3 linked regions of the Arabidopsis thaliana genome follow. The protein of the gene in region 3 interacts with the protein of the main gene of each other region in a biochemical or structural test. Each region holds a gene or a part of one and is shown on either strand. Other genes may lie near its edges. The genes, in order: ABI2, ERF7 and CIPK15.

What was found.
Region 1: the proteins of CIPK15 (region 3) and ABI2 form a complex in vitro, tested with the Arabidopsis thaliana proteins (one study listed by BioGRID).
Region 2: the proteins of CIPK15 (region 3) and ERF7 form a complex in vitro, tested with the Arabidopsis thaliana proteins (one study listed by BioGRID).

Annotation. Positions count from the first base shown.
Region 1 is NC_003076.8:23,078,285-23,088,821, reverse strand, and holds the start of ABI2 (Protein phosphatase 2C family protein), read right to left. Parts: upstream 1,701-10,537; 5' UTR 1,103-1,700; coding exon 590-1,102; intron 508-589; coding exon 211-507; intron 65-210; coding exon 1-64. Other genes in the region: AT5G57040 (Lactoylglutathione lyase / glyoxalase I family protein), read left to right, coding at 3,706-3,756, 4,021-4,186, 4,320-4,607, 4,699-4,787; AT5G57035 (U-box domain-containing protein kinase family protein), read right to left, coding at 5,003-5,218, 5,299-6,048, 6,133-6,561, 6,662-6,763, 6,845-7,149, 7,256-7,371, 7,457-7,572, 7,662-7,783 and 1 more; LUT2 (Lycopene beta/epsilon cyclase protein), read right to left, coding at 9,004-9,169, 9,248-9,380, 9,471-9,581, 9,673-9,769, 9,845-9,952, 10,035-10,178, 10,266-10,368, 10,437-10,537. UniProt on the Arabidopsis thaliana protein: Repressor of the abscisic acid (ABA) signaling pathway that regulates numerous ABA responses, such as stomatal closure, osmotic water permeability of the plasma membrane (Pos), high light stress, response to glucose, seed germination and inhibition of vegetative growth.
Region 2 is NC_003074.8:7,081,772-7,092,308, forward strand, and holds ERF7 (ethylene response factor 7), read right to left. Parts: upstream 5,124-10,537; 5' UTR 4,921-5,123; coding exon 4,186-4,920; 3' UTR 2,956-4,185; downstream 1-2,955. Other genes in the region: AT3G20300 (extracellular ligand-gated ion channel protein (DUF3537)), read right to left, coding at 1-38; ABCI15 (trigalactosyldiacylglycerol2), read right to left, coding at 5,886-5,978, 6,077-6,167, 6,694-6,809, 6,947-7,276, 7,354-7,869; PYRB (PYRIMIDINE B), read right to left, coding at 8,583-8,690, 8,767-9,003, 9,122-9,295, 9,395-9,534, 9,620-10,133.
Region 3 is NC_003076.8:302,946-313,482, reverse strand, and holds CIPK15 (CBL-interacting protein kinase 15), read right to left. Parts: upstream 4,110-10,537; 5' UTR 3,679-4,109; intron 3,398-3,678; 5' UTR 3,024-3,397; coding exon 1,758-3,023; 3' UTR 1,386-1,757; downstream 1-1,385. Other genes in the region: SR1 (serine/threonine protein kinase 1), read left to right, coding at 1-60; AT5G01800 (saposin B domain-containing protein), read right to left, coding at 4,837-4,992, 5,108-5,167, 5,307-5,507, 5,603-5,751, 5,974-6,061; AT5G01790 (uncharacterized protein), read left to right, coding at 7,800-8,426; AT5G01780 (2-oxoglutarate-dependent dioxygenase family protein), read left to right, coding at 9,354-9,482, 9,758-10,342, 10,416-10,537. UniProt on the Arabidopsis thaliana protein: CIPK serine-threonine protein kinases interact with CBL proteins. Binding of a CBL protein to the regulatory NAF domain of CIPK protein lead to the activation of the kinase in a calcium-dependent manner.

The sequences.
Region 1 (10,537 bases), about 23 Mb from region 3:
CGTTCCACCGGATTACTTTCCCACCGGCAGCTTCTATCCTCGCCGCTTCATCATCCCTATCCGGCTACACATAAATGTAGACCCAAACGCTATAAGTACATTAACTAATCTATAGAAACATGCTATGATTGGTAACACCATAACAAAAAACCGCAAGTCCTAATGAATATATGATTGTACTAATTCATTCATAGAAACATCTATACTTACTTTGTGATCAACCGACAACGCGAGTGGCGTTTTGCCGCGACACAAAACCGCCCTAGAGTCGCCGCAATTCGCGACAAAGATGTGAGTCGGAAAGACAACCGCAACCACCGAGGTAGACCCAACAGTTTCCGGAGCATGAGCCACAGTTTCAATCTCCGAGTCAACTCTCATAAAAGAGTTGAACAAAGCCTTCTTCCACTTCTCTTGCCACGTGTCACCGTCACAAAACTCCGGTTTCTCCTTCACTATCTCCTCCGTCAAAGCCAGATGCATCCTCTCACGACAATAATTCGCTACCTAAACACACAAAAACAAATGTCAAAAACCAAGTTTTTGCAGTTTCCGATCATATCATATCGAAACCAAATCGATTCATTACCTGAGAACCGCCATGGCCATCGTAAACACCAAAGAAATGAGCACTCAAGTGAGGATTAAATCCATTAGTGACTCGACCATCAAGCAACGAACTAGAAGAAACTTGAAGGAATCTAGGAATCGTTGAGACAGAATCTTCCATCTCTGGTCGTCTACCACAAATCGAAGTCACTCCATATAAAGGAACACACTTGAACTCAAACAGACTTCTACTCTCTGTTCTACTAAGTACTTTCTTCTCACTCTGATTCATCGATCTCGGATCAAACTCATCTGAACCGTTGATTTCATCTCCGGCGGAGATATCCACACCTGCCATAGCAGATGATGATGATGTCAATGAATCTTGTCTTGTATTGATCTCAAAGGAAGAATCTTTCATAGCTCCGTCGCCAGAACAAGAACTTTCCGGTAAAGTAACCCTAGATTCACCGTTGCAATAGCCTCTAAGTCCGGCGTGAGGGTCAGTGAATGGTCTGAATGGAACAGCGACTGCAGGAGAAACTTCGTCCATTAAAGGAGGAAAAAAAAAGAAAAAAGAACTTTCTTGAACTTTAACAAAAACCCAAATCAGGAATCAAAGTTGGGAAGAGAAAGGAGAGAAATTGAAGTTGGATATCTAAGTATTCAAAGAGACAGATGTTAGATTGTTAAAACGCTTGGGTGTAAGAGAAAAGAACGAAAAGTCAGACAGATTTGAACATAATAAAAATTGATGAGAGTGTTGTTAACTTTATTAGATGAAGATGAAGACAAGAAACTCATGACTCATTAGAGGAAAGTGAAGACAACCTTAGCTAGCACATGAAACAGATAGAGAGAGATTTGTCAATTAAAGAACCAAACACACACAAAAAAGAAAAAGCAAACGTTTTCCCGAGGAAAAAAGGACTAAAATCAGAGTTTCCTGGATTCTGGGCAATTCGTTTCAGCCATTTAGAGATTCTGAACTCTCTCTCTCCCTCAATTAATTTCCAACCAAAAAAACTTTTTTTTCTCTTTCTTTCTCACAAACAAATAGTTTAGGGGATAATCAGTTTTAAAGAGAGAGGTCTTTATTTATTAAAAAAAATAGCACAATGTGAGATGTTTTAGTGAACAACAAAGTAATTAGAAAGACTTAAGGAATTGTGGAAACAAAAACAAAGGGTATTTATTTTATTTTGACTTGATTAAATTTTATTTCTTATTCTATTTACTATCGTGTCACCCCTCCATTATTATTGGGTATCTTTATAGAAGTTTTGAATACAGATGTTTTATACGTTTCCTATTTTACCAAAATATCTTGCATTAAACGTTATGAAATTAGATTTAAGATAAATCCAAACTTTTTACATAATGAGTAATTTACTTATTTCACATAAAAATAATATCTCTTAGGAATTGCTCTTTTCTTTTGAGCTTTAATCAAAATTGGTCGACAAAAAACGTAATTTACTTATTTTATACAAAAACAAATTTCTTTTATTTTATTTTTTGTTTAGTGTAACATGCCATATGTCACAAAAATATATTTTATAGTAAAAGATGAAAACACCAAAAAATATACAAATTATGATACAATTTTTATTAGTTTAGTAGAAAATATATTCATCTACACTGACCACACTAGTACATTAATGCTACTAATAAAAATGAGGTACTATAATAATTACAAAATTTACTGACTAGAGAGCTTGCTCTGATATTTTTGGTTCTAGAGTTCAAAATAAAATAATGACAATCGGGTGGATACCAAAAACAGAAAGGAGGAGAATCAAACTCGAGAAGGCAAGAAGTGTTGTGTTGTCAACAGATGATTCTTTTTACTTCCAAAACAATATTGAAGAAAAAAACAATATTGAAGAAAAATAAAATCATTTTCGAAATAACAATCAAATGGGTCCCATTATTGTCGGAAAACAGACCGGATGATCGCCACGTAGACAGAGAGAAAGTCATTAGATTTGGTGAAGAGGATGGCGTGTACGGTGAGAGATCTGTTAGTTGGGATGGCGGGAAAAGATGAGCCGAAGAGGTTCATTGCACTGACATAGACAACACCTCTCTTTTAACTTCCGTAAATATCTTTGTGTTTCCTTTTTTATTTGGTGTCTGTTTTATTTATTTACTTGTTTTTAAACAAAAATAATAATACGTGTTCCATAATCATTGGACCATGTAATGATATGTGAAGTGAAAGTAGCTTTGGTTGGGCAACAAATACACTGAACCAATCGTATAGTTATATAACTAAAAACGTATATATGAATTTCTGTTTTTATTTATTTATTTACGATTTCATGAATATTTTTTATTCACTGGATATGAGTCATGTGACCTTGATTTTATTTTTATTTTTGAGATATACGTAGATAGATAGACGCATGCAATTTCTTTAAAGTTAATTCATTTTTTTTAGGATCTCTCGCAGCTGTCAGATAAAGTAAAATATCTTTCGATATAAAATAAAAAACAAAACCAGCTCATATTGTATAGTATACTATGTGTCACATATTTTGAGATGATCAGTTGCTACACGGATCTGTTAAAACTTAAAAGGTAGTATTGAATAAAGTGGCGGTCACATAGAAGTACAACTAATATCTATTTGTTAAATTTTGTCAATATGATATCAAATACAAAATGATAATAAGAAAATTATATAAAATTAGACCATATTCTTAAATTTTTATACATAAAGCTAAAACATCTAAACTTCATTACAAGGTAAGAGAAATTTGACGAATCTGGAAGTTATTACTGAGTTATTTTCGCTCGAAATAGTAAGTTACCAACTTACCATTTTTGTGAAGCTGCAAAAATAGTGAGACGTGAATCACCTATTGGACTGGGCTAGGCCCATCGATTCTCTGATAAACTTTCATTAAATAAACGTTTGACTTTTGCCACCACACCGCATGTTTGATTTTTTGTTGTCGTTGAAACAATTATATTTTTCGAGACAATACGAAATTGATTTTCCCAGTGATTATGTGGCTGAGTGGCTCAGGTTTTGTTTTTCTCCTTAATTTTCTTGGCCAATAAAGAAAATAAAAAACATGAAATCATTACTTTAAAGACAAAAAAAAACTCTTGCTCCTGTGTTGAGAGCCTAATCCAAGATTCTCTTCCATGGCTTCTATTTTCAGACCTTCTTCAGCTTCACTTGATTTACGACCAAAGGTATCAAACAAATAAGCTTCTTTATTCACTCCTAGCGTTAGGTTACTCGATTTCCAGAAATTGTTGTTTAGGGTTCTTACCTTTTGGATGATCTTGAGATAGTCCTAGACGCTAATCTTGTAAATTTGGCAATTAAGGGCTTCTTTTCTTTAGTTTTCAAGTAATTGAGTTAAAAGGAGAAATTAGGATTGTGAGTATCATTCAAAATCGATTACTTTACCTTGGATTGATCATTGATGATGAATCTTTTTTGGTATTTGGAAGGTTATTTGCACGAATCTCTCTACGAAAGAGCGGTTTGAGTTTCAGAAGAAGAGTGTGAGGAAAGAAAGGATCAATGTTAGGTTTTATAGCTTGAAGGCTAAGGCACAAGGATCGTCAATTGAAGGGATTAGTGTTGTACAAGAGAAAGAGCTTAACAACAAAACCGGTAATTAACTGATAATAAGTAATTGTGTTGATTGTCTGCTGGTTAGTGGTTACAACATTTTAAGCAAATGTCACCATTTATCTATAGACACTAAGCTCGGATTACCAGTTTTGATTGTTGATTGTTATTGTAGATTATGGAGTTGTTGGGGTTCATCATGTCGGTCTGCTCTGCGAGAACCTAGAACGGTCACTCGAGTTTTACCAGAACATTTTAGGCCTTGAGATCAACGAAGCAAGGCCTCACGACAAGCTTCCATATAGAGGAGCATGGTTATGGGTAGGTTCAGAAATGATTCATCTTATGGAGCTTCCAAATCCAGATCCATTAACAGGTAGACCCGAGCACGGAGGCCGGGATCGACACGCTTGTATTGCAATCCGTGATGTTTCAAATCTGAAAGAGATCTTAGACAAAGCTGGTAGTTTATATTTTTTTATTCTTTCTTCTTAGTTTCTTTTGGCTTAAAGGATGTTTCCTTTCGTTCTGAAGAAGATTTTTTGATTTTGTAGGAATTGCATATACAATGAGTAAGTCAGGGAGGCCAGCGATATTTACTCGTGATCCAGACGCAAACGCTCTTGAGTTCACCCAAGTTTGATTTGAGTCTATTTGTAGATGAATCCTCTAAACTTTCACTTGATTATCAGTTGTAAATGCTCTTCATATAGAACTGCAAAAAGCAAACCAAATCCTTGTTGACTTATTATATAATACCACAATACATATTCACAGAGATGATACACCCGATTCAAACAAGTTCAGGGTATTTAGTCAATATACGAATTAGACTAGACTGTATATATATTAGTGTGATCAGTAGGAGCCAAGAGTAGTGGAGAGGTCTAAGCGTGAACGAGATCGCCACTCTCGTATAGCCGATCTGAGAGTGTGGTTCGGTGTAAGATCAGAATGTTTGAGCCGATGCTTAGTAACAGGAGACACATCTTGATGTTTTTGAATCCATTCTTTTATCGCTTTTCGTTCGTATGTGAATCCATCTGCTGCTATTTGTGGATCTTCCATTATTTCCTACAATCAACCAGAATCAAACATTTTAAAACCTGAGCCATCGAGAATTGTGGTTGGTGTGCATCGGTTATTCGATTTACCTTAAGAATTGGACAGTAATAGTGAGTTGGTGCTCGTGCGTTAGCTTGTTCTGTCTTGAGTCTACTATTTGCAGATTCAAGAATACGTTTGAGAGCAGGCAAGACTTGTGTGCTAAGATCTGGTCTGTCTCTGCATTTGAGCTGCGAACACCTGATTGCAATGCGAGCTAGTTCTTTCGCTTCGGCTATGGGCCAGTCTTTGACTGATCCATCTAACATATCTTCAAAACAGCCTCTCTTTACTGCATCTTCAACGCAGAAAAGAAGACCGTTGGGATGTCGAGCGGTTAAAAGCTGGAGAATTATGATTCCAAATGCGTAAAGATCTGATTTCGGTCTGATTGTGCCGGTTCGTTGGTATTCCGGGTCCATGTAGTAGAGTGTACCGGCGATAATCGAGTTTCTGTAAACCGTCACACTGTCTGGTGCTTCGTCTGACATGAGTTTTGCGAGTCCAACGTCACCGATTTTGCTGACAAAGTTTCTGTCTAAGAGAATGTTGCCTGGTTTGAGGTCACGGTGGACGATGGGCTCAGGCTTAGAGTTGTGGAGGAAAGCTAAACCACAAGCTGTTTCATAGATGATTCGGAATCTGATAAACCATGAGAGAGATGGTTTCCCTTTTTTGGGAGAGATGTGACAATCTAAGCTACCATTTTCCATGTACTCATAGACAAGGCATCCATTTTCAGGACAAGCACCAAGGAGAAGAACCACATGGGGATGACGAAGCTGGCTTAAGACTGAGATCTGCAAAGTAAAATAGTTGATTTCAGATCTCAGAGTGTTAAAGGCTGCTGTTGTTATTAGGCCATGAGACTACTAGTAATTTACCTCTTTCAAGAATTCCTCTTTCTTTTCAACAGAATCAGGTTTGAGAACTTTAAGAGCTACTGGGGTATGATCAAGACTGCATTTGTATACTTTTCCATATCCTCCTTCGCCGATTATTTTACGGGAAGAGAAATTATCTGTAGCTGCAGCTATTTCTTCTTTTGTGTACTTTCTGTATCGCCCGTCTCTCAAGAAGAGTTGCTCAATGACTTTCTGTTTCTCTATGGACTGTTTGAGAGCATCTAGCTCGGCTAATTGCCTCTCGCAGAACTCTTTGGCTAGCATTGATTTTGCTTCCTCGACTTCTTTTACAGCTTTTAGATGCTTTTCTTTCTCTTCTGCTGCTGCTTTCCTTCGCATTTCTTCTTTTTCCAGAGCAGTGATGACCCTTTCTGTTTCTTTGATACACTCAGAGGAAAGAGACTGGACCTGAGGTCACAACATGGGATTGAGTTTATGAATCCATAAGATGTAAAAACATTAGGAAAGGATTTCGAGAACAAAAAAAGTTTTCTTCTAGAACTCCAACCTGTGTTTGTTTATGAACTAGCTCTTCACAAGCTTGTTTGTACATGGAAAGAGTGGTTTGCACTTCTTTCCTTAGCTGCTCTACCTCAGCTCTTACACCTGACTGCAAAAACAGATCTTGGATCAAAATCATATGCATTTTGTGTCACAGAGAATCAAAATGGTCATATATTAAATGCTTCACCTTTGGTGTTTTTAAGTGAGGTCTAGGATCCATCTGTATTTTACTAGTGGAAACAGTACTATGCCTAAGGATAGAACGACAGTGTTCGTCATCGACCAAAACAATATCAGTTGAAGAAGACTGTGCATCAGAATACACTCGAGAGGTCGGATGACTATGCGGTAAAGAGCCAGGCCTTCCAATTCTCATCCTGCCTGAAGATGTTATAGATGAAGCAGACAACCCTGTCTTATCAGAGCGTGTGCGACTGAAAGATTCTGTATAAGCTTCAGCTCCTTCTGGTATACGGAAACTAGATGATGAATCTGTTGAAAATTTCACACAGAAACAAAAACCACAGGGGAAATCAATAAAACTTGTATTTTTTTCCTTCTTGACTTCAGATTTTAGATCAATGCAATTGAAACATACCTGCGGTAAACTGATTCGTCGATTTGGTTAAGATTCTATCTTTACAAACAACATATATCTCACATGTCTCTGGAGCTTCTCCTAGCACCGTTAATGGCATTTCTTGTCCTTTTTTCCTGTCAAAACCAATCCAAACGTCTAAGCAAGATCATACCATATACAAACACATACTAGATATCAAATCCCATTATGTAACATTACCTTGTGAGGAAATTAGAAGAGCAAGAGCCAATCACTAAACACTCAACATCAGTATCTGACATATACTTCAAAAGAGCCTTTGCAGGATCATGATGTTCCAACAACAAAGTCTCAACCTAAACATTTAACCAGTAAAATTATTCCATAAGCCTTCTCCAAAACTTCCAAAATCAGTATCATAAATTTAGCTTTCACAGAAACTCACTTTGTTGGATTTGCAGATCCTCTTAAACGGAACAAAAACTTGTTCAAATTCTTTTCTCAAATCTCGTTTATACATAGACACAACACTCTCATCCAATTCCTCTATTGGAATCTTCGATCCAGCTTTTAAATCAAACAAAAACTAGTGTTAAATTTTCATGAATCTCGAAATTGATTTAACAAAAAAATTCGAATCGAGACTTACAAGGAGATGGAATAGTAGTAACTGTAGGCATGACATGAACAAGAACTAATCTATCGATTTTAGGAAGGAAATTTTCGATTGTCCAACGAAGAGCACGACGACTAGCAGTTCCTCCTACGGCGTCACCGACGGATCCTTTAACAGCGACGGATACTGAAGAATACGACGGAGCTCCGCCGATTAATTCGAAGAATTTGTTCGTCATCACCACCATGAAAATGAAACTTGTTGCTCTTTTTCTCAGATGGATTTTGTGAGGAAATGGGTTTTGGAGAAGAAGACCCGCGTTTTTAGTTGACTTGGATAGAAAAAGTGGGTGATGTATTTATTGACTGTTGTGAAAATTGAAAGCGCCTACTTTATTAGAAAAGTCTTTTTCGAAAAAATTGTTATGTTGGGACTTATATTTTTGTGAAATTTAAGATATGGTCGTTTTATTGATAATTTTGAAGGTTTTAATTGATATAATTGTGAGAAAAATATTAGAAAGAATGTTCTATATTATTTCAAGGGGTTGACATTAATAAAGATATATAATTCATTTTGAATAAAATGTGCAAATAGCGAATTTAGAAGTGATTTTATTGACTAGTAATTGTTTTTTTAAAGGGTTAAGAAGAAGTTTCATTGGATTGATTAATTTAATTGATAATTATGTGGTGCTTGTTCTTAGATTCTGTATGTGATGCAACGAACATATACTTGTTCTCTGTTCTTGTTAATATTAGATTAATGATTAAAGACGGCACACTAACCACTTGTAGTTTCACTAATCCAAAATTAGCAGTTTCTTGTTTATAAATAATGTGTATAGATTATTGAGTAATTTGCACTTAGGAACACGAAAGTGATCATATTTAAAATAAATGGCAATCGTAAACAATATAAGCGAAATAAATTGATAAAAATTAAAAGCATGTGTTGAACATTTTTACTCTTGTTGATTTAAACATTTCTCGGTCACTAACCACAAAACAAAGACTGATTTTTTTCTTTTCGTTTCCATCTCCATTTCGATCACTCCTTAGATTCTATACATGTTTGTTTCCAACTTCCTAGTAACCCACATACCATTCTTTGATCGATTATTCAGATAAATCAACATATATATACACAAACCTAAGAGTTGATAAGTAAATCATACTTTGAGATAGGTTTTTATCATGGTTGCTCCGGTTGGATCAGAGATGAGATGATTGATGAGACCTTTTCTCAAATTGTTTGGTGAAATGACGAACATGTATAAAGCAAAGAGAACGAGATCTCCTGATGTTAATGTTGATCCTAGAAACCCTTGCCACATCCTGAGTAAGTGAAAAGAAGAATCAATTTTCTTGTTTACAGTAACATTGTTATGAATCACGAATCAGTGTCTTGCTTACCATTTTGGAAGGCGGAAGAAAGTACGGAAGAAGCTTCTAATGCCTTCGGTATCGAATTGAACTATGAGTGCAAGACCAAAGAGAAAGAATGCTCTCTGTCTTTTCCTTTCTGGTGGCCATAAAGTATCCCAAGCTGCCAAAAAATAGAAAATCACAAGTTTTAAAAGTTTCTCATTGTGTGAAAGAACAGCATAGTTAACTTTGTGGTTTATATAGAGCTCACCTTGTCTTGAAATATTACTGTTGATCTGTTTGGTAGTCTCTTCTCTTAGTATCTCTGCGATGACTGATGCATATTTTGGAGCTTCAGACAAAGATCTCACAACTGAATAGCCTGTTTAATTGGGGGAAAGCTAAGTCAGAGATGGTACAGATTCAAGATGTGAATAAAAGTACATCGGGTCAAGGCTTCTTGCTCTTACTACCTGTTGCGGGATGTACCATGCTAGCGGCAGCACCAAAGGCGAGATTCTTTTGTTCGGTGTTTGGCAAGGAACCACCAACTGGGATATAGGACCACTCCTACAGTTTTATATTAAACGAATTAAAAAAGCAAATAAGAAGTTTCTATGTTGATATAGGACCACCAATTCTTACCTCTTCGTAAGTCTTTAGAATTCGAATTCCGAGTGTATCTAATCTTAACATGAGCTTCGTTTTTAGCAAATCAAAGGGCATGACATCTTTTGAGGCCAAACATGTCTCCTGAAAGGATTTCCAGCTGATGAGCAACAGACTTATCACAATAACGATTTAACTAGAAGGAGAGAGAAACACCAAAGAGAACCTCGAAGAAGAGTCTTGACTTTGTCATAGGCATGGCGTACAGAAACGTTGGATACTCAGCTTCTAAGCTCCGAACTTTCTCGTTAGTATAATCTCTGTAATCCATGAAAACCATTTGATCTGGATCATATGGACTATTTTCCACCTGAAGATTTCAAATAGAAAAACAGTCTCAATGAACAATGATTCCTCCATATAGTTATTGCTGTGGAATATCATATTCAAATTATACCTCAACCTCCACGCCGTATGCAGTTTGCACACAGACTCTAGGTCCACCAACTTCGTATTGCAAGAGCTTTCCCGAAGCTGCTCCAGAAGCAACAGTGGCAAGCCTGCATTTGCTAGAAGTCAGAACCTTTTCGTAGTGGTAAAACCAGAATAGTACTAGCTGACTTGTTACCTGCAGGGAATGACGTTATTGTCGTCACAAGCAACAAGTCTAAGGCCATCAGAAGCTTCTGTTATGCTGTCAACTTTCGAGCTAAGGTACGAGACACCTGA
Region 2 (10,537 bases), on a different chromosome or scaffold from region 3:
CCTGTTGTTGCTGCGGTTCCGATGTCGATGTCCGCCATGGACGATCGCTCGGGAAAATGAGAAATTACCGGAGAGGCTCTGGCTTTTTTTTTTTTTGTTGTCTAAATATAAATTGATGACGCGGTTGGAAGAAGGAGAAGACAGAATCAGGAATGGCTAAAATTGTCTTATGGTTATTTATAAAGGATCGATGTTTAGGTGGATTTGACAACCGTATTTAAATTGTAATTTAGTATCGTAAAACAAATTACTACAATATTTCGTATTAAGATGTACATGTTTTGTATCTTATTGGCTCTGTTTTATTCGAATATTTACATTTTCAATAATACTAGTGACTTGGGGTTTTTCTGCTCTATGATTCATGAGGGGATATTTGAACAAACAGTTTAGAATTTGGGGATTAAGTAGAGACGAAATTGTGCACTTCCATTGTAAGAAAGATTTTTTCTGATTCACGATAAAAACGAAAAAGGAAAGTAGATTTTGTGTTCATGCGACAACCATGATTTCACAATCACGGGGTCTATCTACTTGCTAATAAAGTATTATCATCATTAGATCATAGATTTTTATTTCTGTTTATATACCTTAGTACTGTAACATGTAAATTAGTGTATCTCGGATGAATTTTTTTTTTTAGTTTGAAATTCATGGAATTTATCTATTAAAAAGGTTTTACTAAGTATATTACAGATTAAATACACTAAATACTAATTATTCTTTTCTTTAAAAAAACAAAATTTGCATATTGATATATTTCCATATTTCGGCGGAAATAGGTTTACGTGGCAGTGACAAAATATTATACTGTAAACACTGAAAGAGGCAAAAATAAAAACAAATGAAAAGATGCTGGTGAAGTGAACACAGGCTGTAGAATGGGTCCCACGTTGACATGTGATGTGTAAAATTTAGGCCGTAGATTACGCATATCTCCGTACTTACGGCGCCACGTATGTTGCTAATATAATTATAAGTACCATTATTTTGATTTTGATGTCTTCTTATAAAAAAACAAAAACATAAGATATTATTTAGATCAGCTAAACTAGTAAAGGATTACTTAGAATTTTAAATACCCGGCGGCATGTCTTGAGTTTATTGGAAGGATGAGTATATAAAGTTTAAAGGTTTTGAAGATTAATCGAATTATCAAAATGAGGAATATCATATACTTTATAGTATAAAGTATATTAATTGTCAATTATTCGAATGAATCATGGGTTTGGTTTTATTACTTGTGATCTTATGAGTGGCTGTCTATGCATTCGTTTTTATATGCCCTCATGACTTTGAGAATATTTCATTATTCCAATTACTATACGATAAATGTTGTTACATCTCTTAATCAAATGTTGAGTCGTTTGATTATTTTTTTATTTTATTTTATTTTTTGTTTGTTTGTTTGTTGAAGAATCGAAACCGCAGACCAAAAATATTTTCTGTTGTTTGCTGTATTTAAATTTACACGCAACTATACTTTTGATTTAAACCTTCTTTCTTGTGATTTAATACTCCTTCTTTTAGTTTTTTGAAGATTTTCAATCTCTATGTTATACAAATACGTGAAAAATATGCATTTTACCCTTAGAAAGTTAGAAGTAGAAACGAACATCTCACAATGCTTGATTTTCTTTGCTAAAGAGTATAGACCACATAAGATAAAGAAAAAAAAATATCATTTAAAGAGCAACATTATGTTTAATCGTGTTAAAAGTTTCATAGTAAAATGGTATTCAGGATTCATCATAGTTGATAGTAGTAATTGGTTTGCAACATTTGATTGATTTTGCTTATTTCTAATGTATGTAGCCTTTGAATTTAGTAGTAGTACATAAAAAGTGATTCACGTCTTTACACGTTTAAGTATCAGCAACGTGTATTCACCCAGTTTGAAATTCAAGATTTTGATCATTCTTTATTAGCCCCCACATATATAAAGAGTTTCAAGAACTATAGAACCACAGCTTTCCTGATTTGGTCAAACCTGGAAATATATTCTTTCGTTATCTTTCTTTTTCTTAACTTTTTATTTAAATCCCATATGTAAAATGTAAATTAGATTGCTATAATTAACTTGATGGATCAGAAATTTTGAAAAGCTGTGATAAAATAATAGAGAATGTATAATGAGATAACAAATCAAAAACTTTAACGATTACATTTCAAATAATCTCTAAAAATAAACAATATAGTAAATTTTAGAATAAATTCACTCGGCGTACGTGTCTCCAAATCTCAAAACGTTTATAGACACACAAGATTCATAACTTATACTCTATAAAGAAAAACAAAATGCAAAGTGAGGGGTTTGGTTGAAGTGGTTGTCTTGTGAATATTGAATTGTTGTATTAAATTCGTAGAAAATTAGTAACCAGTACAAGCTTTTGTGGGCTGATAAAGATAAACACGTTGAGTTAGTAATACGCAAACCGGTAATCTACTTCTAATCAATTAATTTAAATGAGTTTTCCAGGCGTCTATTATAACTTCAAAGTCTCGTTTTCCGACAATTAATATATTGTGTGATTAAGATGAAAATAAGACAACTACGACGACAAGCTAGCCAAACTCTTTTGGAAGCGAATAAAACAAGACTAGCTATTTGTGAACTTATTATTTTCTTCTTAGACTGATGATTTTACAATTGTAACAATGCACTCCTATTTAGACCAGTGATTGGCTGATGGCCAGGTTATTTTGTATAATACTCTCTAACCTTTCTCCATTTGTCTAGTTAACCTTTAGCCATTTGCCTTGTTAATTGCTCATACACTTCTTTTTCTCCTTAGTTCAAGTGTAATGTCCAAGCCATTCATTATCCATTGTCTTGTTAATGAATCCATTTGTCTCAACAGTTTTTTATATTAATTTTCTCCTTAATTCTAGAATTATCTTCAATAACTAAAGATTAGACCAAGTTGTTCTCATTTAATAGCAATGTAGAATCATTTGGAGAGAAACTATCATTTCAAAGCCGAACAACCGAATTCTCGAAAGGTTGTAAAAGTAAAAAGTAACATTGTGGATTAATCTCAACTCCAGAATAATAGAAGATTATTAAGAGTACGAACCGAAACAGGAAAAGCGACTTGAGATCAGTTGTCTTAAATCGTTACAGTGAAAATAACAAGACATTGCTTTTGACTTCCACTTTAAGTTAAGAAGAAGCCTACCCCAAAACGGTAAAAAAATACTCGGTTTTTGCTTCAGACACAAAGATTCACTGTCTGAATCCGTGGCATAGAAGCAAAGTAGATACCAAAATTGGGAAAACTCTCTACCAGCAAATTCAAATCAAAAAGGTCAAACACACAACGAATTCTGCCACCTCAACCCACAGCTCTTAAAGATCAAAACAATCATCTCAGCCACCAAACTTTAACCTAAAGATTTGGCCTGTGCTCATTGAGCTTTATCGATCACAACAAAACCACTCACCGCCCATTGACCATGCCCTTAATCTCTATGTTCTTCACCATCCAAAATATTCATTGGGTACACAAAAGGGAAAGCCTTTCTTGTCTCCTCGCTGATGAATGAAAACTTGAGGCTTAACAATGACAATGAGTATTCTAACTTCCTCTTCGAATCACCCAATTAGATAGCAAAGGAGCTTCACCGTCTTTCTTCCTTTCATCTTTTTATTGCTTCCATCTCAGAGAACCACTAAGCTTTACTTGTTGAATAGAAGAAACCCTGAATTGATCAAGATCAAGCCAAGAGACAAAACACAAACAAATACTTGTGCCCTGTGTGGTTCTGTTACATACTATGTAAATGCAGCTTCCTACTTACATCAGGGGACACTCTATGAATAAGTAGAAATCTAAAGATAATGGATTTGAATCATTCAGAAATCATCACCAGCTTCAGAATGTTATATATATGTAACAAAGGGTTGTTGGATCTTTTATAAGAAGAAACAGATAAAAATGAAACCCAGATCTGGTTCTTACAGTAACAGATCTTAACACAATCTCTCTCTCTTTTTAATCGTCATCATCTTCGTTGATGATAAAATCATCACGCTCAATCTTTTTTTTTTGTTCTTCCTTTTTTTCTCTTTCAATATGATATCAAAGGAAAATGGAAAAACAAAAGAGCATAAAGTTATCATTTTGTAAAATTTGAGAATTTTTTTTGTGTGTAATCAACGGATTTTTTTTGTAAAGCAGCAAATCAGAGACGTAGATCGGTACAGTGGAGATCATCTATCCCGCCAGCGAATAAGTCAACGCCATCCAACGGCGGGAAATTAAGATCAAACTGAAACGGCGTTTTCCGGCGGGAAGACGAAGATGCGATATCATCTCCGTCGTCAATAACAGACGACGAAGAATCGCAGTCGCTATGACAATCCTCCGGAGCTACCGGTGGAGTTCTCGGATATCTCTTAATCGCATGTAACGGTTTCGCCACCGACGAAGACGCCGCCGCGGCTTCCATCGGTCTCGGTCCGCTACAAGATTTAACGGTGCTGCTCATGCTGCTACTCGCCGGCCGACTAATAATCTGCTGCTGCTGCTGCTCCTGGAAATTACCTCCGCCGTATAACCGATGGTCCATAAACGGATCGATCTGGTTCTGAATCACCGGAGGAGAACAGAGGTTTTGATTGTGGAGGTAGGTGAGAGGTTGGAGAGGAGAAGAAGGAGAACAATCGATCGGGAAATTGGTCTTGGCCTTTGGACCACGGAGGTTACGTGCGGCGGTATCGTAAGCGCGTGCAGCATCTACGGCGGAATCGAAAGTACCGAGCCAGACACGAGATTTTTTTAATGGATCACGGATCTCAGCTGCGAATCGACCCCAAGGTCTCTTCCTAACGCCTCTATACCTCGGCTCCTTCACAGATCCACCGGCGGTTACTGGAAGGGCGGGTCCAACGACGGAAGAGCCTCTCCCTTTCCTCATGGAGAAGAAAAAAGATGTAAAGCCAGAAGTAATGTGATGAAGAAGAGATCTGTGTGTGTTTGTGTGAAGAAGAGAAGAAAATGTTGAAGAGAGAAGAAAGATGAGGAAGAAGATGAAGGAACAAAGGGTAGAGATTGGAAATTATTATTATAATTCTCTTTTTTTTTTTCTAAATAATTTACTCAAAGAATTTTCATTTAATAAATTAATTAAAATAATAATTTATGGTTGGAATAGCTTTTTCTTTTCTTTTTTTTTTTGGTTGTTAATTTCGATTTTTTCTCTACCTTCACGCCCGACCCACAAGACCGACCAATTCGTTTCTTTAAAAATTTAATTATGGAGTAACATTTTTCCTAACTTGGATTCTTTTTTTCTTTTGCTTTAAACTTTTTATTCGATATATTGTGTGGAGAAAAAAAAACAAAAAATTAAAAAAGAGTTCACAAGAGATGTCTCGAAATGCGAAGAAAGTAAAAGAGGGTAAGCACTTGCACTCTCTGTCCTGACCCTGACCACAATCTATATAATAAAATCTTATGTCTTACTGTTTGTTTGTTATCAAATTGATGCACCTAGAGACCAAATAGTCCACTTGTAATGACCAAAAACACCCTCCAGATTTTATTTTATTTTATTTAATAATACACCCCTCTTCGAAATTATTATTAGTTTCTTCTCCTTCCTTTGGGACCCTACAAGAGACGAGACGCGCTTATCGGCATCGTCGTCGTCTCCCGTGTTAAAAGTAAATGCCGTGTTGAGGATACGCATTAATGTGGAGAAACAAACATTTTTGTTCTTATAAAAACTGAATTATGTCTCTCCATTAAACCCCAATCTCAGAACACAAAACGAAAACAAAAATAACTCTAAAGAAGAAACAACACATTTTTCGAATTTTTAAAACTTGCTTACCATAAAATTCTGGATTTTATTTATCCAGTCTAAAATCTACAGGCTGATCATAGTAGCCTGCTTAGGGATTTGATGAGTAGTTTAAGGTTTTTTCTTGTGGCTTCATCTCCTGTGAATCCCAGAATATCTGAGCTTATACTCTACAATCAAGAAAATCAAAAACCAAGTCTTTGTTAACATTGTTTCTTCCAACTTGTCAAAGCTGGTATTGATAGAATAAGAAGAAAAAAAAGTTTACCTCGACGTTCTTCAAAGTATAAACCAGAGTGTAGATTGACTTCTGTATGAGTTCTGTATTCTCAGGAGTCATAATTGACGAATTAACCTTTCTGCAATGTAACCAAAATGAAAATTATATTTTTGCTGTCTACTGCAAGAATATAGGTTCTCATAATCACAGTTATCACTCAGTTGATCATACGTATGTAAGTAAACGAGCTTTTGCATATATGTGGTCCAGGAACATACATTAAGTGACAGAAACAGTAGGCTAGCAGAAGATAAGTAGAGGCAACACAAGATAAATTATTGAAATTTTAAGACAATAGAGGAAAGATTGAAAAGCACTGATGAGCAAAGCAGTTAATTTAACATGGAACCCATAAGATAAGACACATTTATGCATAGATATGTATGTGTTTTAACTTTTTAACCATCATCTCTTGTTCAGAAACTTAATCCACAAATAGAGTGTTGAAGCCACATACGAGAAATTGAAGCTAGTGTGCTTATATCTATCGTAAGGTCTGCTTTCATCATGATGCAGAAAGAGTTTTGCATTTGCACTATGGAATTCAAAATATTCATAATGATATACAGTCGATATGCCAAGATTGTTCCACTAAGAGCTATTACCTCAAATCGTCAGAAGCTTGGGTAAGGCTTCGAGTAAGACACTCAACTTCCTTGAGCAAGCCGCTATCACGAAACTCAGAGAGCAAAGGTTGAGCATCTTCAGCCATGGCTTGAATCTGTGACATCACTACATCAAAACCCAACGCATAAGCAGGAGAATACATTTTTTTCCAATCTTGAAATTCACCTATCGATTCTTTTTGAATACTGTAAACAAGATCTAAACAAAGACCACCAAAATTACTCATATCACCTTTTTGAGCAATGGCCTTGCTTCCTCAATAACCGAAGCAGCTCTCTCAGCAAGCGAATACGTATTGGCAACACCAATGGCCTCAACTTCGCGTCCAATACGAGTGAAAATTCCAACTAATTCATCTAAACTAACTCCTTGCACTCCTTTTATTGTCTGCCTATCACAAACGATCAGACCTTCCTTACCACATTCAGGATGCAGAGGTCCTACTGAAGGTTCTGGTATCGGATTCCTAGGCATAATGTCGATCATAGTTTCCATTAGAAGACCAGACTGATTCACCTCAACCAATGAATTCCTCGGGATAATAATCTTATCATCTTCTATCTGCAAAACATAACACACGACCCTCATTTCAAAAACAAATGTACTATCAAAACCAGATTCAAAGTACCAGATCATACCTCAGCAACAGCTTCAATATTCTTCAAGGAAGGATTAACACGGATAATCGTACCAACAGTAACCCCACGGATCCTAACCGGTGTTCCCGTGCAAATACCAGAAGCATGACTAAGCTCAAACACAGTCTGATATTTCCTAAACTTCGACCGCATTTGAAAACCTCGCAACCAAGCCCAGCTAAGAGCAAGAAGAGTAGCTCCAGAGACAATAAACAAACCAACACCACCTTCCCAAATACTTCTCTTACCAAACCCAAAATCACTCAAAGGTTTTAAAGTCTGTCTCCATATATTCCTGGGCACATCCAAAACAACGGTGAGAGGATTCTTCCCCCCATCAGACGATGGTTGACCATGAGCAGCATCGGAATTGGATGCAGCTCTGACCACTAAATGCCTAGTTCTAGGTTTTGGTGGAAGATAAGGAACCCCATTGGGTGAAACTCGAGGACAAGCAATCATGGAGGATGATGGCATTAGTGATGATGGAACTTGAATTACTGGATTCCCAATCATCCTTCCAAATTCAATAAAAAAACTAAACTTTATGCAGCAAGTTCCAATTTTGTTTTCCGAGCTGTAGTTAGAAAGAAGATAGAGAACATGTGAATTGCGTGAAGCTTCTACTTTATCGATCGAATTATAAGTCGAGATTAGGGTTTTTGAGCGAAAGAGAGAATACCTGGGCTCGAAGCTTGTGACGAACTGGTGTCGTGAATCTGAGAATAGCTTCTCCAAAGGCTTTGTTGTTGGGATTTAGACGGTAAAGAGAAAAGACGGAAAATCCCATGTGATTATCATTAATCATAATTAATTAAGTAATTTATTAATCACCTAATTTCGAAAATGTAAAGGCTTAATCAGTTAATCTTAAGCCAATTTGGAAGGAAGCAAGGGCATTTCCGTGATAATCAGAAAAATATACAGCGAAAGTGAACTTTTCTCTGTTCACTGTAATGTTTCGTCCTTTGGAGAAGTGGTAGGCCAAACTGTGAAAAATAGCTCAAATCAATTTATTCATTAAGTTCAACAACTCTTCCTCATATCAGTCTTTTAACCAACAAACCAACAGATCCTTCTTTTAATTAACATCAAGATCACAGCTTTTGTGCTTAACACTCAAAAATCACTAAAGCTTCGGATTTTATTATTGCAGATTCCTTGAGCTCATGGTAGGCTTGAGAATCAGTCCATTAAAGGATTTAACTTAACGACCATGAACTATCCAATCACCAACCGACAAGCAGTAGCTTTAGAAGAGCCATTCTAATGAACAAACCGTTCTTTGCTTGTCTGAAGTAGGCAGCTCTTGGATCAGCATCAACATCTGCGGTGATCTACACAATAAGAAATACAAAGAGTGAGGATTGTGTCACGGTACATATATGAAAAATAGAGGTTTTCTTAACTTACTTCATCCAATCTCGGTAAAGGATGCATGATAATAGCTTTTTTCTGCATCACTCCTAACAGATCCTTGTCTACGATATACTTCCCACGAGCTGCTTCGTAAAGGTCCAGCCTTTCTCCAAACCTCTCTCTTTGGATTCGTGTTTGATAAACTACATCACACTTGGATGCTACTTCCATTAAATCTGAACTTTCTTCCCATTCAACCCCGCTTGATGTCAAATAGTCTTTTATATCATCCTACCATTAAAAGAACACACTGAAAATGGTAAGGAACATACACAATGATGTTCTCGAGTAAACCAAACCATCTTCTTCAGGTTCTCTCATGGAGGGTGGCAAGTTTAGTGCTACTAACCTTCATTTTCACAATTTCAGGGGAAACAAAGTAGATCTTCACGTCTTTGAACTTGGCAAGCAAGTATGCAAGAGACCGCACAGTCCTTCCGTTGGCAAGGTCTCCAACTAAGGCTACACTGATGCCATCTAATTTTCCAATTTCACTTTGGATGGTATAGACGTCCAATAGAGCCTTCACAACAGTAACAGAACCAGAAATAAGAAACAAGGATGTAAAGTAATGTTTGTTTAAGACAATTGAAAAAAACTAAAGGTTAAGAACACAACATACCTGAGTAGGATGCTCTCCAGGACCATCACCTGCATTAATGACAGGTATATTGGCAGTAGCTGCAGCTTTTCTTGCAGCACCGCTTTCAAAATGTCGCATCACAATTATATCTGAATAACCCTCCACTGTTCTTATTGTGTCTGAAAAATGCCCCAAAAATTTCCGTAAATAATCTAACACTCAACATGTTTCACAGCAATAATGAGATACTAGCTAAGATGGTACCTTCAAGTGTTTCCCCTTTCGCGGCAGACGAAAACTCTCTAGCGTTCTCAGTAGTTAAGACTTCACCTCCAAGGCGTTTCATAGCAGATTCAAATGAAAGCCTGGTACGGGTAGAAGGCTCATAAAAGAGGGTAGCCATTAAATAACCCTTGAGGATTTCACTTTGTGAAGAGCTCTTTTCTATCTTTTCCATTTCGCGTGCAACATCGAATATAGCGCTTAGCATCTCTCTATCAAACTGTTTCCCTTCAATCACATCACTAAGTTCAAATTTCTTCAACTCCCTCGTCCCAGCTTGCATAGCATGACACCTGACTGGACCAACATTTCGAGTCAGATTCAAAGTAGCATTTTTCTTGAGATCCCTAGAGGCAGGAAACGAAGTCAAACAAATCTTTGAACTTTCAAAAGGGCTGGGAAGATTGATAGGGAACTCAGAGCTGCAGGCTAATGCTTTAGGAAAAACTGAGGCGCCGCAAAGTGTGGCTGAAGTAAGTGATGATGCAATAGACATTCTTGCGCAGGATGCTAATTCGTTGAAGGGGAGATACTGAGTCACAACTTCCAGAATCTGCTAAAATAACAGACAACAATATATGATGCCGTTAGTTTAAGAATAATCGAAAGCAACTAAGTTTTCGAGACTATGAGAAAAAAACTGCAAATTTTATAAACTCTAAAGATGATTACAAGTATCCACACTCCATCAAGCTAGTGCCAACGATACTTGTTGCGGATTATATTGGTAACCTCTCTTACATATCCACTTGCTTTCATATAAGAATCTAAACATTACTTGAATCCTGAATTCAATTGTCTTAGATGGATAGAGGGAGAATCAAAACCTTGGGTACTCTATGGAAATGATCCTTAATCTCAATTATAATAAAATTATGAGAAAGTAGTTACCATAATCCG
Region 3 (10,537 bases):
CTTGTGCACGAATCAGACCAAACGGACCCAGAACCAACTCAAGTACATACGACGTCGTAGTTTAGGTATCTGTCAAATAAATTATCCAAATAATAATTAAAAAAAAATATCCCGGGTTATATGTAATTGCTTTTTTTTTTACCCGGAGAATATCTCTGACATAATTATTCAGGAAATTTCTCGACAAATCTTAATTTTTAGTTGGCAAGTATGTATCTTCTTGTTATGTAATCATAATTATATTTTATATAAATGAAAAATAAAATATAAAAAAATGTATTACTTGTTTTAAATGGCCACTATAATACATTAGTAACGTATCGTGGATGTGAAGTAATGCTATGTGTACAAGACACTCTAACTTAACCATTACTTAAGGATTAGTTAACTATTCAACATGATATTTAACATACATATAGATGTAATTTTTAACAACTCATAAAACACAGTCTTCTTCTGCTATTAATTTTGTCATTATGTAAAAAGAAGTGTCAAGATTTGAGCCATGAACTAACACAACTGATCTACTTTCACCTTTTTGATAAGTAAGAGGTTGTCCTTATCACATCATTGTAAAAATATACTATTAAAATAGATATATAGCTAGTGGACTTTATATAATCCTATCGCATGTGGCTGTGATATAAGATCATACACCAATAATTCTCATCAATCATTTTCTTTTCTTGGTATCCACATTGAATCCAATCATCCATAATCCATTAATTTCAGCTTCAGCAGTTATAATTACTGTAATCAACATATATATCACCTTTTCAATGCAATAATTGTAGGCTCCACGATCTATATATTATCCAATTTACTATATACACAATCACATCGTACACTTTTAAAGCACTTAATATGCTTTAATTAATTCCTTAATTGTGGTTATATGTAACTAATTATCCTGTTGAGCATAAAAGGAAAAGTAGGAAACACACAAATGCAAAAATCTGACGAGCACGTTATGTTGGTTAGATTACGAAAAGACAAGAGTCTTAAATTGGGTGGTTTCCTTGGTTCTCCTTCAATCCAATTTGTAGTTGTTGGCCCACTAAAAGATAGCGGATTAAGCAAAACCCTTAGAAAAATATACTCTGCACTCTATGATAAAAGGTTTTGATTTGACCAACTGATAAATGTATGGTGTATATCCGATTATGGGCCAACGTGGTCCACTGGAGGCCGTGAATTCAATGAGCTTGTCCATTTTAGTCGTCTTCTCGAATTGGCCCAATCACAATCATCCAACCAATAAAGACACTTTGTCATTTTCCAATACATGTATGAACACTAATCTTACCATTGGATTCTTTTTCTCATTTTTTTAACACCATTTCTTACCAAAAAAATAGAAGAAGAAAACACACCATTAACAAATTCTGTAACGTAAGTTAAATTATAAATTTGTTTTGACTTTGTTAATACACAAAAAGATCATCCAAAAGACTACAATAATACGAAATAACTACAAAATAGTAGTATAATGCTTCCTAAAACCGTTGTCGGTCTATTGGCTTATTTCATTAAGGCTCAATTTATTTTATTTTATCTGATAAAGAAATCTACTTATTTTGTCTCAAACTATATAATTGGTCCTCACATATTATTATTGTTACACTGACACCTAGAAAAATACGAAACACGTCTTAAGATGAGACTCAAGAGAAAATACATAAACTAAACACATTGGCAAAACAAAACAAGAAAAACATTCTAAAAGAAGAAGACACATAAAAAGGATAGAATATGTTTCAGTGCCAAGCTAATACAAAGTCGATCAAAGCCGGTCTTATACTCTCCTTCATGACTCTCTTATACTCAGCAGTATCTCCACCGCTCTTCTTTAGCACCACCATGTGATAGCTCGGCGCAATCTCAAACACTTCCGCTTCCACCACTGTAGCCTCAGCCGACATTTTCACCCTCCATTCGTGTTCCTTCTTCCTCACTTTCATCTTAAGGTCCTTCCCAATCTCCACCAGCTTCTCTGTTATCTCAGATGCCTCTCTGTTTGATGTAAACCTCATCTCCTCCTTCTCCTCTCCCTTCTCGAACAGTCCCGAGAGATCAAACCCCGTGGACAGAGATATGATCTCAAACGCGTTCAGGTTGATACACCGCTTCTTTTCCTTCTCTGCACTTGCGTTTCCCTCTGCCTCTGCGTCCACTTCTGTCTCTTCCTCAACTGATTCTTTCACCTCCTCTTGTAGGCCTTTACGGAACCAAGAGCTCTTCATTATTTTCTCAGTTGATACCCTTGTGTTGGGGTTAGGATCCAAGATCCTCTTGAGCAATCTCTTTGCCCCCGGAGCAAGCCAGTTGGGGAACTTGACTTCAGCTTTGCCTATCTTCTTATACAGCTCCATCAGATTGGAATCACGGAAAGGAAGATATCCAGCGAGCAAGACGAACAATATCACTCCACAGGACCACACATCCGCTTTAAACCCATCATACCCGTTCCTGCTTATCACCTCCGGTGCAACATATGCAGGGGTCCCGCATGTAGTATGCAGCAACCCGTCTTGCCTTCTAGAGTCAGAAAGAGCGCTGAGACCAAAATCAGAGATCTTAAGATTCCCATGCTCATCCAACAAGAGATTCTCCGGCTTCAGGTCCCTGTGGCATACTCCACGGCTGTGACAGAAGTCAACAGCGCGTACAAGCTGCTGAAAGTACTTTCTCGCAACGTCTTCTCTCAGCTTCCCAGTTGACACTTTGTTGAAGAGCTCACCACCCTTAACATGTTCCATGACGAAGTAGATTTTAGATTTGGTGGCCATGACTTCATGGAGCTCAACGATGTTGGGATGCCTCAAGAGTCTCATGGCAGAGATCTCTCGCTTAATCTGCTCGGTCATGCCAACTTTGAGGATTCTTTCTTTGTCGATGACCTTAATCGCTACACTATCACCAGTTTTCAAATGCCTAGCATGGTATACCTTAGCAAAGGTACCTTGACCGAGAAACTTCCCAACCTCATAACGGAGCATCAACACAGATCCTTTCTTCTCCATTGACTAACTGGTTAGCTTAGAGCACTACTAATACCACTAAATAAAAAGACCACCCTAGAATATACTAAAACGCAGACAACATAAAGGGTAGAGGAGGAACTCAGGAGGAGGCTGTTAGTGTCGGATCAACCGTCTTCGCAAAGATCATGCTTCCAAGTGGCGTTTTTTCTAGCATTGTGAGAGGAAGGCTGGAAGGTGTGGAAGCAGGGGTTTAGAAAATGGGTGTCCACATAAGGGATGAGGGAGAACAAGGGCCCAAAGGGACAAAGGATCTGAGAGGGTGGTGTAGAGCAATTGAGTTCAGCTTTCAAATACATGTTTCTGCATTCCCTGGCCTTCCAATTTTTGCACACTCTTCTTGATTAAACAACAACCTGAAACATAGAGAGCAAACCATTAATGACAGGATCAACAAAGAAGGCCTATCTAGTTTGCTCCTAATTAAACACCAGAAAATCGAACACTAAAGACAAGATTCAAAGCGATTGAGAGCTATAAACATGGGACGAAATCTAAGTAGATCGAACTAGGAACGAAACAAACAGATCGAATCGGAACAGAGACATAAGATATGTCTTATATCTATCCATCACAGAAATCTAGATTCCTCAATAGCATCGACAAAATCCGCTGCGAACCAGAATCGAACAATTACCTCAGTTATTATTATGCGCGAAAGAGCTACGAAAAGCGAAGACAAGTATATGCCAAATAGCTTCAGCTGCGAGGAATTGAGAGAAAATGAGAAGAAAGAGAAGAAGAGTTTCCCTTCCTTTATATTATAATCGGCCAACAAACACACAAGTTGATGATATCTATGAATTGCGAAAATGCCATTCTCGGAATTTTTACTAATTTTAATGGAAACAAAGAGCAGCCAACCTGTTTACCTTTTGGCCGTTACTAACCATTTTTTGTCATCATCTCTCTTTTCGCTGTTTGCAATTTGCTTTTTAATTATTTCTTTCTTCTAATAATCAACTTTGTTGTTGTTCTTAGCCCTTAAAATAAGTTATCACTTCTCATCATCTTTCATCGTCATTACACACACTAACCAAACTTAGTTCTTTTTTTTTTACATCTTTTCTTTAGTTTTCAAGCTAAATAAATATACGATAAGCATTAAGGTTTGTTTTAACGAAATTTTCATTTACAAAATTAATTTTATTTCCCAATAAAAGGATTTGTTTCACTACATTGGATATGTACACTGTTCTGTTTGTATTATAAAAGGTTAAAAATCAGTCGCTTTTAGTCAATCAATCACATAATTCTGAATATACATACAGTCAACAGATTTATAAATAGTATACAATTTGTTTTCCAGAGTAGTGTTGATCAAAGATTCCTTTAGATGATATGTACCAGTGACGATGTCACACGTAAGCAAGAATATCCTCTAATGTTAGCTTTTATAGATACGGTGACACTTGCTCTCTTTGTCCTTTACACGTGTCTGACATTTATTCGCTTGTGGGTCAGTTTAAACCAGCTTGGCGGCCCCTAACTTTTGCCAACTGTTTCACAGAAGAAAATGGTGGGCGAGTGATTGAGTACACGCATCAACGTAACGTTTTAGCGAAAATCAGACTACACAACATGGGCAATGTAGAAATTAGCAAAAAGGCCCATCGATGGACAATGGGCCTTTAGACAGCGTTCTTTTCAAATCACACAAGAATCATCAATCGTGTAGTTATGTTTTTAATATATCAATCAGTATTTACATGACCACCGGGTTACCAAATTAAATTAGCATCACGATCATGGCATGGTATTAGTGTGAATGACGACAAAACCAAGGTGGCCGAATTTACGAATCTGCCAATGACTCCACCGCAGGAACGTAGTCACGGTGGGTGGCTGGACCTGGACAGACGTGGAGGATAGTGCACACGTCTTTCTTCTCCAGAAACTTCTGCAAATCCGTAAGCATCAGAGGCCCGTACTCGAATACCATCTTCTTGCACTATTCACCATCATAAACAAACACATTGTTATTATCTGATGATGATCCATAAAAGTATCACAAAACTCAGCTTAAATAGAGAGAGCTTTGCGGGCATTCTTTATTAGTTAGCTACCTTGTCCTGGTAATTGTTAAGCGACTTGCATTCCTTGAGAAGTAACCGAATTATCTTCAGCTGCAACATTCACAAGGCAAAAGTCAATCTTCAGCAGCAATAATAAATATCTCTAACTGATATAATTCTTAGTGCTAAGCCTAAGGTTTGCGACACAGAATAGGTATGTGATAATAGAAGGAATGAAGGTTGAGCAAACCTTAGTCTCAGGATCCTTGAGTTTGGTGACAACCTCAGAGACAGTCTCGCGGCAAGCCTCGCAGTTTCCTTGATGGACTTGAGAGGCAAAGGCCGGTGTCACAGCTTGACAGAGGTTAAGCCGTTTGCAGATTTGGTCTGATTTGATAGTAGAGACTTGTGTGAAGAAAAGTTGGGTGTAATGATCTACCATTGAAAGACACTGCAACAAACACATGAGTTGGGCATAGTTAACATATAACCACGTCTGAGAAAAGGAATAGAGAAAGCAAAAACAACCAAGGACTCAATGAAGACCTGTTTTTTGAGAGGAGGAATCTGAGAGCAGCTGATATGAAGGGCCTCAACGAGTTCATTCTGGTTGTCGTAGTCTTGAAGGTAATCAATGACTAGCGTGACATACTTGTCACATAGTTCACAGACTTGGTTGTCATCATGAGCTGATTCTGCAAACGAAACAATCATACATAGGAGATCAACACAAATATTATATGGAGCAAACTTCTTAAACCCAATTAAAAAAAAAAACATACATCAGGATGTCTATATCAGATTGAATGCTTTCTGAAAACGTAACGTATTCAAATAATCCAGTGAACAGATTTTAACAAATTTGAATTAGAAACAGGTGCAAGAGAGACTCTAGATGCCTTCAAAAATGTTCTTACCGAATGGTTCGAGAAGAATCGGGTTTGTAGCATGACAAGACCAGCTCAAGAGGAAGAGGACTAGGAGGACTCCAAATCTACCGCCCATGTTTCCTCGTGAGATCTATATATTACCAAATTTAATGATGATGGATCAAAAACCGATTTGGAGATGGCCATATTCATAAGTCAACAGACACTTTTTGGGGGATTCCGATTTTGAGTTGTCAACAATTTTAGGTTGAAACGCTAAATTAAACAGATCTAAATCAAACCATAAGCGCTAAATAGGTCTGCATATACGACGAGACTGGGGACAAATTAATATGTGCTAAAAGCTCTTATTCCATAGAATCGATACATAAACAACAATCAAATAAGTGTACGAAAAGATGAAGAAGAAGAAGCTAGCTTACACGGCCTCCGATGAAGAAGCTTGGGTATCAATTAGATCTGATTAATGAAAGAGAGCAACCGATCGACGATCGACGATCTTCGATGCTGCTGGGGTTGCTGCTCTCTCTCTCTTTTTCTTTTTTTTTGTGAAAAAGCAAGAGTCTCCTCTCATTTAGATCCATGGTAACAGAATTATATGATTGGCCCTTTTTTTTGTCAAACATATGATTGGTCCTTTCTTTATTATTATTATTATTTTCAATCTAATTAAAGGGCTGTAGTATCAAAATTACTTTTAAAATCTATATTCACATTACCTATTTTGTTTTCCAAACAAATAAACTAACTAGTATTTTATTTCATCTGCTATAAGAATATGATACTCCAAGTTTATACACCTCTGGACAAAATTGTTTGTTCCATTTTCTTCTCCTTATTTTGATACTGTCAATACCTTAATGGAGATGTTTAAACCGTAATTAATCGCATTTGTATGATATTCGCCAAATTATCTTTCACAACCCAACAAATGAGAAATTTGGTTGTTGGTTTTAAACCTTATAAATAGGTCACGGTTCTCAATACTTTAAAGACCTTCAATTTTTTAAAAAAAAAATCTCTCATTTTTCTTTAATGGACGGAAGAAAATGTAATTATGTCTTCTTGTTTAACCTTTAACGAAGAGATGTAAATTCTGATGAGGGGAGCGAGTATATGAATATCACATGAAAGATATTAATGCAAAAGAATGGACCGACCATGGGGTCTATCAGTGTGTATATACTAAGGAAAGCAATGCTCGGAGGTATGTGGAGCACATGTAGGAATGCATGGGTCGTGGCTCGTTTAGTCATACACTGTTTTCCAATTTAATCAGATAAAAACCAATTATTCAATTCATATTGTTTTCATCAATGGTCCTATCTACTCTCCAAATAAATGCTTCTACAATAACCACACCTTTCTTAATAAAATCTACTCATCAATGACATGTTTGTGTTGAAGTTATGTATATGTTGGCTTGTAATGTAAATATTCTCATGGATGAATCGTTAATTGCTATATACATGTGATACAAATATCTTGCCTTGAGTATGACGTATTTAGATCTCCTCATTATTCATATGTGAGTGTTTTCTTTTGTACCCGGTAGCATTACTTAGTGTTCAAGGGTCTAATAAGTTGTGATGACTTTATATATCCATCGAGTGGTTATTGCCTTTGTAGGATTGGACCAACACACTTCGAGATGTATCTTTATAAGTTCTAACTATGAGAGCTAATTAACCGCACTATTGAAACTATTATTTCACTATCATTAATTATTACATTTTGCTTTTAATATATAGTTTCTATAGACACCAAAGCCAAACAAATAAGCCCAAAAGTAAAAACCGTACCAAAGACACCAGGCACCCATATATACATGATAGATTGACTCCATATGTCTCATGCACACATCTCTCCCTCTCTTTCCTTCCCTCTCTCTCTCTCACTCTCCCAAGACAATAATGCCAAACGCGGGATCTGAGCGGGCAGCTTCACTCTCACTGAAAAAGCAAGACACCGCCACCTTCTCCGGTAAGCTACCGTCGACCAAACAACGTTTTTCGTCGGTATCAGCTGCTTGTCCTTCCTTTAGAATCTACTACTACGACGGAGCCGCCGGTGCCGTCCCTTTCGAATGGGAATCTCATCCAGGCACACCCAAACACCCCTCCTCTGAGCTACCTACTCTGCCACCTCTCACTCCTCCGCCGTCTCATTTCTCTTTCTCCGGCGACCAAATCCGCCGCCGTTCCAAAAAGTCCACCAAGAAAATCCTCGCACTAATCCCGACAAGGCTCTTCTGGCTATCGGGCGATCACAATGGTAAGGCTAAGAAACTGTCGGCTTCATCACCACCATCTCTGTCGGAGAGAGTGTTGATCGACGAAAATGAGTACGATCTGTTCAAGTTTCAAACAGAAAGGAATGTCATGCGAAGATTTTCATCCTTCGACTCTTCTGCTGACTACCCAATTCAGAGATCACAATCCACTTCCTGCTTCGGAATCCGCAGATGTTTCCTCTGCTAATTCCGCTGCAAAATTTGGAAAATAAAACGTTGAAATTTTATAAAATGTTTTTCATATATTAGTTTATTTTGTGTTCCATCGTCTTATTATTATAATATTTAATCAGTTTGTGTCGGTAATGCAACTCCGAATCATATAATACGTTTACCTTTTTGTTAAATAAGAGCAATGAACAGTTACAAGAGTTACGTAAATTGATCAGAAGATTATTATAGTAACTGTCGCATTCACTTTGGTTTAAAGTGCATGACTAAAACTTTGATAATTTAAGTATAGCTTTTGGCAAGTGTGTCTTTTTGTATATGGATGGTTCCGTGTAAAAATGTAACTGTGAGTTTGAACAAGCCTTCTTTGGTGTTAATTTAGCTGTCTTCCAAGCAAAGGAAATTAATGAATGGGGTTTGGTGGTTGGTTTCTTCTTAATTGATTTTTTGTCGAATATGATTGGTTTTCTACAACCTCCTCACACTCGAAATAGCAGAATCATTTGGTCCATTTTTAAAAGATAAAATCTACACATCTTTCTTTCTTCTATATTACCTGGTAGGTTTTAGAGTCAAGATTTTAATTTACCTTTTTCCTGTTAGATGTAACAATACGTTTGAATACTGACATAAACTAAGATTTGACACTAAAGTATGTTGAGTTAATAAGTTAAGGAAGGTGTCGGCGGCTACCATTCGAGCGTGTTCATCACCCGCCTGTCGTGCGCGTAGAAAACTCATTTCGCTCCCACAAATTAATGTGGAAGACCCTTGCTATCTATGTTACGAGGCCCATGGGCCCATGTAATTAAAATAGTGTAATTTGAAATTACTGATGTGTTCTCGGGAAGATCAATATATAATTAGAAAGAAGGCTCTGCGCCGACGGCGTAGAAGACGATGCGTCTCTTGTCGTCGCCGATAAATCGAGGCTTCTTCGACTATGTTGAACTCTATCCATCGCTCGTTTCATCTTACTTCCCGCCACCAGATCGTCCTTCGGCTGTGCTCTCCGTCGGCGAGTAGGACGATAATGAGTTCTTCTCCTCACTCTCCGATCCCAAAGACGCATGTGAGTGATCGTTTTCGCATTCTCTAGACTATTATCTTTCAACCTAGTTTCGCTGATTTTGAACCATTTTTACTATGCCGCTGATCGCATGAATTTGATTGGAAAAAAATGCTCTCATGCTTTCATAGTTTATATTCAATTTCCAGTGGCATACCATATCAAGTACTGTTGTTTAGAGATTATGAACTCTCCATTGGCTCCCAGTGATTTTCCTATGATCAAAGCATAATCGTGGCGGTATCTAAAGGACACGTTATGTTAATTCTGTTAAGCAGACTGCATCGCTTGACTCACTTAATGATTATGAAGAGCAATTTCCACCACTTACTGGTGGCTCTAAGACGAAGAAGTTTTATCTTGGTTCTACCAATCCTTCTACTCCATGTCAAAGTTCACAGCTTCAAAACTGGACAAGCGGTAAGGATGCTTTGTCTTTGCAGAGGAATTTGGGATGTAAGAATAGGAGGAGGAGACGGGCTTCACGGTTTTTACATGAAGAATCCAATGGGACAACTTTTGAGGTTGGCGCTGGTATTGGCTCTCCAACAAGTATGGTTCATTTTGATTCTACCAACCCTTCTTCTTCTAGTAAAAGTTCACAATCTCAAAATTTGAAAATCCGCAAGGTTAGGAATCACAGGAATTCTGGATTCAAGAGTAGGGATCAAAGTCCTCAGAGGATAAAGGATCCTCCGCCTTTCGACATATGTTCTTCAGTCCTCGAAAGAAATGATACAAGTATAAAAGATTGGATTTTGGCGGATGAAACAAACAGAGAAACTGTTGAAGTTAGTAATAAACACAAAGTTATAAGGCCTGGAATGGTGCTTCTTAAAGACTTCCTTACGCCTGATATACAGGTAAAAAACTGTGAAAATGATCACATAATCCACATATTTCTCTAGTAAAGTAAAGAGTTGTACATGCTTATAGGTTGACATTGTGAAAACATGCCGAGAACTTGGTGTTAAGCCCACAGGATTTTACCAACCGGGGTATAGTGTTGGTTCAAAGCTTCATCTGCAAATGATGTGCCTTGGGCGAAACTGGGATCC